2 linked regions of the Cricetulus griseus genome follow. The protein of the gene in region 1 purifies or fractionates together with the protein of each later gene. This does not show direct contact. Links are inferred from orthologs where the notes say so. Each region holds a gene or a part of one and is shown on either strand. Other genes may lie near its edges.

Region 1 (4,403 bases):
GCAGAGGCAGGCGGATCTCTGTGAGTTCAAGACCAGCCTGGTCTACAAGAGCTAGTTCCAGGACAGCCTCCAAAGCCACAGAGAAACCCTGTCTTGTAAAACCAAAAAAAAAAAAAAAAAAAAAAAAAAAAAAAGAACTCTACGCCCTTATTCCCTAACCTGCCATGTCTAACACCCCACCTTTTTAATAATAAGAAAAGGTGGGAATGAAAGGTGCAGGCATAAAGCTGGCCTGGCTACCTGGCAGAATCCACTCAGGCAGTACTCTGGTCAGCCCAGGGTTCCATGAGAACTAAGTCTGCAGGGAGGTGTAAAGGACCCCTTTAAAAGACAGACCCCCTGCTCACTTATGCTCTCTTCTACTACACCCTCTTGGCGCTCTCTCTCTCTCTCTCTCTCTCTCTCTCTCTCTCTCTCTCTCTCTCTCTCTCTCTCTCTCTCTCTCTCTGTGTGTGTCTCTCTGTCTCTCTCTCCTCTCTGTCTCTGTCTCTCTCTCGCTCTCTCGCTCCCCCCCCCTTAATAAACTCCATGGTTAATGTATCTCCTGGTTCACGTTCCCTAGCTCGAGTCTTTAAACAAGATCACAACACTGGCCTTAATCACCCTCTTGTTTCAGTCTCTTAGCACAGGGATTATAGCACCTCCTTTTTTTTTTTTTTTTTTTTAATGTGTTGAAGGCAGGCACGTGCACAGTGCACCTGTGGAGGTTTCACCGCACCGAGCCATCCCACTGGCTGGCCTCTCTTTGTTGTTGTTGCTGTTTGTTTGTGAGGCGGAGTCTCACTATATAGCCCTAGCTGGTCCGGAACTCACTATGTAGAACTGGCTGATCTCGAACTATAGAGATACACCTGTCTCGGCCTCCCAAGAGCTGGAGTTAAGGGCGTGCACCACCACGTTTGGCCGCCCTCCATTCCATTTTCAAAGCAGTGGCACCTTCAGTCTGCCCGCAGGAAGGCAGGAGTGCTATTTCTAAACCCACAACTAGCACCGGACCCATCCCCCATACTACAGCTGTCTCTGTCTATCCTGGGGCCAACATGGCACCTGGTCCTTGCTATCTCATCAGACAGCACCTTTCAGTTTTAGATCTTCCTATTAGACACTAAACATTTCGAAAAGGAGCGAGGTTCCCCACCTCAAAAAAAAATTAGTTTGTTGGGGATCACATTCGCCCACCAAGAGATAAACCAAGAGGGAAAGTACTGCTTACATCTTCTACCCCTACCCGCGCCCCGCCCAGGAGATCAAGTCCACCTTTTATTGGTCAAAAGTTCCCCCTACCCTCCCACCCGTGCGGAGAAGGCGACTTTTCACTGGTCAAACACCAGCCACGTGACTCCCCCCCCTTTTTTTCCCCTTCCTGGGCTGGAAACCTGGGGAGGTTGCAAGAAGTTAAACTGAAGACAGAAGCGAGAGCTGGGTCAGGTAAATCCCTAGCTGGAATGGGCCGGCAGACCCCCACTTTATCCCCCTATAAAAAAGGAGGGCAGAGCTGTATAAAAGGAGTGGGCACCCCCCCCCCGCCCCCGCCCCGGGTCCACACACTGCCTAACACAGGACCTAAGGGCGGGGAAGGAGGGAGACGGATGAATCCGAAGCAGGAACTCAGGCAAGTTCTTGTGGTCCCAGGTCCTTCCCTTTAAAGGTCAGAGAAGTCTGTTAGAGGGAAGTGTGCACCAAACCAGACTTCACAGCTTTGTGCAGAGTAGGAGCACTGTTTTTTAGAAACAGCAGGAGTCAGAGACAATCCTGACAAGATGTTGTACCCCGTTTGAGTGAAAAGGGGAGCGTAGGGAGCTGGTTTTCTTCCTAGAGGTCAAAGAGTCCTGAAAACACAGCTGAGAAGGATGGCAGCTAAGCAGCGGCACAATTTCTTAGAGGGCTTCCTAATAAGGCATCGATGTGCTAGCCTAGGAGAGCAGGGATGCGTTCTGGTAGCAGGGTTTGGGACCCTGAGTGCAGGAGTTCCAGGAAGTCCGCTGCTTAGGTTTCAGAAGGTTTGTCTTGTTGACCCAAATACCGTACCATTGCTGGTTTCCATGGAGACAGTAGGTCTGACATCACCCTGGTTGCCATGGTGCTTAGTTCTGGAGGACCTGAGCAGGCTGTAAACAGCCAGGGATGAACCGGGGACTTCTGCTCAAGCTGCTGCTGCTTCCTTCCTCCTGTCACCTGTTAACAGTCACACACAGCAGCTGGGATTGGGACAGGGCAGTAGAGGGAGGGGTGAGACCAGAGAGCTGGACAAGGATGGCTGTGTGTGTGTGTGTGTGTGTGTGTGTGTGTGTGTGTGTGTGTCACTAGAGGAAGGGGGGCGTAGGGAGGTTTTTTGGGACCTGGTATAGAGAACTTACCGAAATCATTCTGTCTCCCTGTGGGTTGGGTGCTGGTGTCTCACTGGCACTCAGAAAGACACCATTAGACGTCCTTTATCACCTATCTTGGACTTGAATCTTGACTGGCCAGAGCCACAGAAGTTTATAAGGTAACCATGAAGGGCTTAACCCTAGCTGGAGTAGATAGATAGGAAGCATTGGCTGGTTTTGAAGGTAGAACTTCCAGACTCCCCCACCCCATTTTCCCTTCTCAGTGTTCTTCAGTCATCTTCACCTTCTGCCTTTTCTGCTACCGGGGAAGGCAGTGACTTTTCTGTCTCTGACCACAGTCCAAGACTCTGTGGGTCAGCTTGTCTGTCACTCCATCCTCATGCCTGATCCCAGATGCAACTCCATAGCCCAAGGGCACAGCCTTGCTTAATGTGTGTGTGTGTGGGGGGGGGGGAGTCATACCTTAACCCTGGTTGTCCTTCAAGCTGATTAGCAAGGGACAGGACCAGAGTCCCAGTCCCCCACCCCTTTTTGTTGTAAATTGTAATGTGATTTATGGATGGTAATCGCCACAAATCCTTCTCTCCAGTCCCTGAGATCAAGATCCCTGAGATCAAACTCTGTAGAATTTACAGTGGAGAGAAAGCGAAAAGGAGCCTGACTAAATGTACACCCAGGAGGACTTAACTCTCCCAGGCCTGCTGGGCCCTGCAGTATCAGAAAGCTTCCTGCCTGGCCTGATTCCACTCACGTCAATGGCAGTCTTAACTGAGCCTTGCAAAGCCAGTGCTGAGAACCAGTAAACCAGAAGTTCTCAACCTTCCTAACGCTGTGACCCTTTAATACATACAGTTCCTCATGTTGTGGTGACCCCCAGCCATAAAGTTATTTTGTTGCTACTTCTTAAGTGTAATTTTACTACTGTATGAATGTAATATAAATAGCTGACAGAGGGGTGTGGCCCACGGGTTGAGAACCACTCGCCTAAACCAAGAGTGGAGGGTTGATGGACAGATGGGTGCTGGGACACTTGGGCCTTAAGGAGACTGGTGGGTCTTCTCTTTGGGTTCTGTGGGAGGACGCTAGGGACTATGGAGGACCCAGGTATTGTGAAAGGGACCCAGGTTATTTCCCTCTCTCCAGTCAGTCAGCCTCTCTGTGATGCCTCCCCACTGACCAGAACACCAGGGGGTTGGACTTTTCAGCCTTTGGCCTCTTTGACCTTTCAAGGTCAGTGCAGTTTCCCAAGGCCCTGTGGATCCTTGGAAGAGGCAGCTTCCCTGTGGCTTCTAGCAAGAATACTTCCAGGAAAGCATGGGATTAGGGCAGAAGGACTGAACTGGCCTGGGTTTTGGAGATTACTGCCCTGCTTTTGATGCCTGGAGTCCTACTTCTGCTGTCTGCCTCCCCTGATGGGAGTTCCCTCCCCTCTTCCTCCTCTATAAAAATTTTTATTTATTTATTTTTAAGATTTATTTTTATTTTATGTAGATTGGTGTCGTGTTTTGCCTGCATGTGTGTCTGAGTGAGGGTGTCAGATCCTCTGGAACTGGAGTTACAGACAGTTGTGAGCTGCCATGTGGGTGCTGGGAATTGAACCTTAGCCAGTGCTGTTAACTGCTGAGCCATCTCTCCAGCCCAGGGACTCCAATTCTTAAGAGAGCTTTTCCCTGCAGGTGGCCACTCTAGCAACCCTGGACTGCCACAACTATGACCTCCTCCTGCCCAGACTCAGATAATAGCTGGGTGCTTGCTGGCTCTGAGGTAGGAACAGTGGGCCTGGGAACTACGTGGGAGGGGGGACTTCCACAGGAGTGGACTGCTTTGAACCGGAACCTGCAGGAATAAGGGTCCCAAATGGTGAGGTGTTTAGTGGGAGTGTCAGGGATTGAGGGATAAAGAAGACAAAAGCAATAGCTGGGACTAGGAGGTCTTGTACAAGCTGATGACTTATGCCAAATAAATTTATTAGGAAGTACAGCATCTTACATACTATCTACAAGGGAAAATGGCCAAAGTCAGCAGAGAGCTATATCAGACAACATTGGCAAAGAATACAGAATACCTCAGCCT
Region 2 (3,804 bases), about 180 Mb from region 1:
CCTCTGGGTGTGGACAGTGAGGCCACGCCCAGCCTGGGATGGTTGCTTCTCTGCTCTTCCTTTTGCTTGTGTAGGGGCTGGGGTGTTGTCAGTGTCTACTCCTTTCTACCTTTGTTGGTCTGTTTTTTGAGACAGGGTCTCTGTATCTATCCCTGCTGTCCTAGAACTCACTATATAGACCAGGTTGGCCTGGGATTCACAGAGATCCACCTGGATCTGACCATTCCACAACATGTTGAACCTACATCAGACTGCCTGTGGTGAGGCATGCCCTGGTCACAGACTTCCATGACATCCTAGGGTCCCTTTGTCTGGACTCTTCAAAGGTTTTCAGAATCTGCTTACTGTCTGAAGATCCTTCAAAGCCATTTCTGTCAATTTGTGTATCTGTGAAAGACCCTGTTGGGCAAAGGGGCAGTGGGCTGAGGGGCAAAGATGTGAGGGGCAGAGCTCTGAGAGCTGAAGCTATGTTCAACCAAACACTGGAGGCCACTGGAAACCTCACCTCAGGGCTGCAGATGGAGCACCTGGCAGGTGGGACTTTACTTAGCTTCTGAGCCAGAGTCTTACTGGACCCGAGGTCCTCCTGACACATGCAGCGTGAGTGCTGGGATGTGGCACTGCATTGGGCAGACAGTTAGGCAGAAGGTTAGTGAATTGAAAGAGACCAAATCCAGCTGAAGTCTAAGCTTTTGAGAAAGCTGAAGTCTAAGCTTTCTCAAGGACAGGGTTTGAGTTCACAGAAATGGGAATGCTGCATAGGAACAGCTTCAGGTCATGTGACCTAGGGGGCTCTGCCCCACACTCCCTCCCTCCTCTCCTGTTCCCTCCCTCTCTCTCTACCCCACACTCCCTCCTTCCTCTCTTGTCTCCTCCCTCTCCCCGCTTTTGGAGACCAGCTCATGTACTTGCTGTCATGAACTTGCGATGTAGCCAAGGCTATGTGCCCCTTGGTCCTAGTGCCCTGTACTCAGCCCTCCATTTTGTTCGGTTACCCTCTCCACTGGGCTTTTCCTTTCAGTGGGGGGGGGGACACTGCCCCTGTCACTTCAGGGGAGAAAAAGTCCTTTTTCCAACCTTCCATTAAAAGCCCCAGTGAGCTGTGACCCCAGATTGGAGGCTAGGATGACACCTGTCATCCTAGCATTTGGAAGGCTGAGGCAGGAGGATCAGAAATTCCTGGACAGTCTGGGCTACAAAGACCCTATCTCCAAAGTCATGAATGGGAGGGGAGACTGCTTGCCTGGCTTGCCTTGGTTCTGTCCCCAGCACCGCAAAGTCCTCAGTGCTGATTCTCCTTGGCTCACACTGCTTGTGCCCCTCCTGTCACAGATGGTAGCATGTTATTATCCAGATGGCAGGTGGGATGCTGTCTTCCTGTTCCTTTGTGGGAGGTAGGAGGGAGGGGACCACAGCGGTGCTGGCGGGAGGCACTCCCTGTTCTACCTAGCTTGTCTCTGGGCTGCCATGGCTGCTTGGGGACATGGGGGGGGGCACACGGGGGACAGGGCAGGAGCCAACCTAGAGCTCAGGTGGCGTGCCTGTGACAAAAGTGTTTCAGCACAACAGTACAGTCCCTGAGGCAGAGACAGGATGTGGAGGGTAGAAGGAGAAATTTGGTTTCCTTGCAGAAGATGGGGAGGAGGCTGTGTGGCTAGCCTGGTTGCTAACCCTGAGAGGGTGACTGCCGTATGACAACTGTCCAGGGTGCCTGGCCAGGCTTCAAGTCCAATTCAGCCTTTTACTACCTCTGTGACTTCCTTGTTATTGTTGGCCTCAGTTTGTCCATCTGTAAAGTGGAGCATGCAGCTATTCAAAAGCCCATCCCAAGTGGTGGTGCAGCCCTTTAATTCCTACAACATGAAGCAGAGATAGGCAGATCTCTGTGAGTTAAATGCTAGCCTGGTCTACATACCGAGTTCCAGGTCATCCTGGGCTACATAATAAGACCTTATGTAAACGAAAGTTAGAAAAAAAAAAGTGAGGGAGGGGGAAAAAGAATTTGAGGATACCCAGGAGTTTACTGGGGGTGACACCCTTAATCTATGAGGCAATGGGCTCTGTATGCGGCCCTGCCCCAAGCTCAGGGTGCCAAGGGACAGCTGCTCCGGGGTGACGGCCCATCCTGCAGGGGTCAGTGCTGCCTAGGAAAAGGAGAGGCTCCAGCCACAAGGTGTGTCATGCCCTCTTCCGTCCCACCTCCAGCCACCCCACCCCAACCCCCGCAGGCCTCCCCGGCCAGGCTGGCCCCGCCTCTCCGCACTGCTGTTGACTGGGCGTTCCCTGAGCCCCCTCCCCCACAGGTAGTGCAGTACATCGGGGAGATCTGCCGCTACCTGCTGAGGCAACCGATTCGTGACGTGGAGCGGCGGCACCGTGTGCGCCTGGCCGTGGGCAACGGGCTGCGGCCGGCCATTTGGGAGGAGTTCACGCAGCGCTTCGGCGTGCGGCAGATCGGCGAGTTCTACGGCGCCACCGAGTGCAACTGCAGCATCGCCAACATGGACGGCAAGGTTCGCGGCTGCTCCCTCCCTCGGCGGGTGCCTCGGGGCTGCGTGCGTGGCCGCTCACTGCCGCTCACCGCCTCGTCCACCCCAGGTCGGCTCCTGCGGCTTCAACAGCCGCATCCTCACGCACGTGTACCCCATCCGTCTGGTCAAGGTGAATGAGGACACGATGGAGCCCTTGCGGGACGCCCAGGGCCTCTGCATCCCATGCCAGCCCGGTGAGAGCAGCCCCGCCGGTGCCTCGGGGAGCTAGGGTCCCCGCGGCACCCGCCCCACTCCGCTGAGTGTCTGTCACTCACTCCTTCAGGAGAGCCCGGCCTTCTGGTGGGCCAGATCAACCAGCAAGACCCTCTGCGGCGCTTCGACGGCTACGTTAGCGATAGCGCCACCAGCAAGAAGATCGCCCACAGCGTGTTCCGCAAGGGCGACAGCGCCTACCTCTCAGGTGCGAGCCGCGCGGTCCGACTGTCTGGCTTGATGTGAAGCTGGGTCCCACCTGCCCCTCTCCCCTGCAGGTGACGTGCTGGTGATGGACGAGCTGGGCTACATGTATTTCCGCGACCGCAGCGGGGACACCTTCCGCTGGCGCGGGGAGAACGTGTCCACCACCGAGGTGGAAGCCGTGCTGAGCCGCCTGCTGGGCCAGACTGATGTGGCCGTGTACGGGGTGGCCGTGCCAGGCAAGCTGGGGACGCCGGGTGGTTGTGGGGTGCAGAGAACCCAAGGAGTCCACCCAGAGGGGACATATACAAGTATATGCAAGCATACAACCTGGAGAAGTAGTTTCCAACTGTTTCTAACGCTGAGCCTCAGTTTGGGGGACCCTTAGGATCAGAAGGGTCGAAATGACCCCTTATGAAATGGGTGCTGTCAGGACCAATGTTGTCCCAGTTGGGAGGTCATAGAGTAGAGAGCCGGACGCTACAGGTGGGCAGGTGTTCTCAGCTGAACCTCCCTCCCTCTGCAGGAGTGGAGGGCAAAGCCGGCATGGCGGCCATTGCAGATCCCCACGGCCAGTTGGACCCTAACACCATGTACCAGGAGTTGCAGAAGGTTCTGGCATCCTATGCCCGGCCCATCTTCCTGCGTCTTCTGCCTCAGGTGGATACCACAGGTACAGCCCTGCCTCAGGAACCATTAACTTCTTTGTTCTAATTTAGACTCAGTCCCCAGTGTGAATGAAGGTTGACAGCCACCTGCCCTGGGGCGTTTCTTGATTTCCTGATGGACTTATCTGCTGCTCCTGGTCAGTTGGTGGGCACCTTGTTTCGTCTTTTGGTTTTTGCGTTGTTGTGAC

Evidence for each region.
Region 2: the proteins of Pbxip1 (region 1) and Slc27a1 purify together in Homo sapiens (co-immunoprecipitation; 3 studies listed by BioGRID and IntAct, with this or other methods). This does not show direct contact. The link is inferred for Cricetulus griseus from reciprocal best matches to the Homo sapiens genes PBXIP1 and SLC27A1.

Annotation. Positions count from the first base shown.
Region 1 is NW_023276806.1:65,108,553-65,112,955, reverse strand, and holds the start of Pbxip1 (pre-B-cell leukemia transcription factor-interacting protein 1), read left to right. Parts: upstream 1-1,333; 5' UTR 1,334-1,428; intron 1,429-2,411; exon of another isoform or gene 2,412-2,488; intron 2,489-4,006; 5' UTR 4,007-4,040; coding exon 4,041-4,094; intron 4,095-4,403. UniProt on the Homo sapiens protein: Regulator of pre-B-cell leukemia transcription factors (BPXs) function. Inhibits the binding of PBX1-HOX complex to DNA and blocks the transcriptional activity of E2A-PBX1.
Region 2 is NW_023276806.1:247,955,991-247,959,794, forward strand, and holds part of Slc27a1 (long-chain fatty acid transport protein 1), read left to right. Parts: intron 1-2,303; coding exon 2,304-2,513; intron 2,514-2,598; coding exon 2,599-2,725; intron 2,726-2,814; coding exon 2,815-2,952; intron 2,953-3,022; coding exon 3,023-3,187; intron 3,188-3,474; coding exon 3,475-3,621; intron 3,622-3,804. UniProt on the Homo sapiens protein: Mediates the import of long-chain fatty acids (LCFA) into the cell by facilitating their transport at the plasma membrane.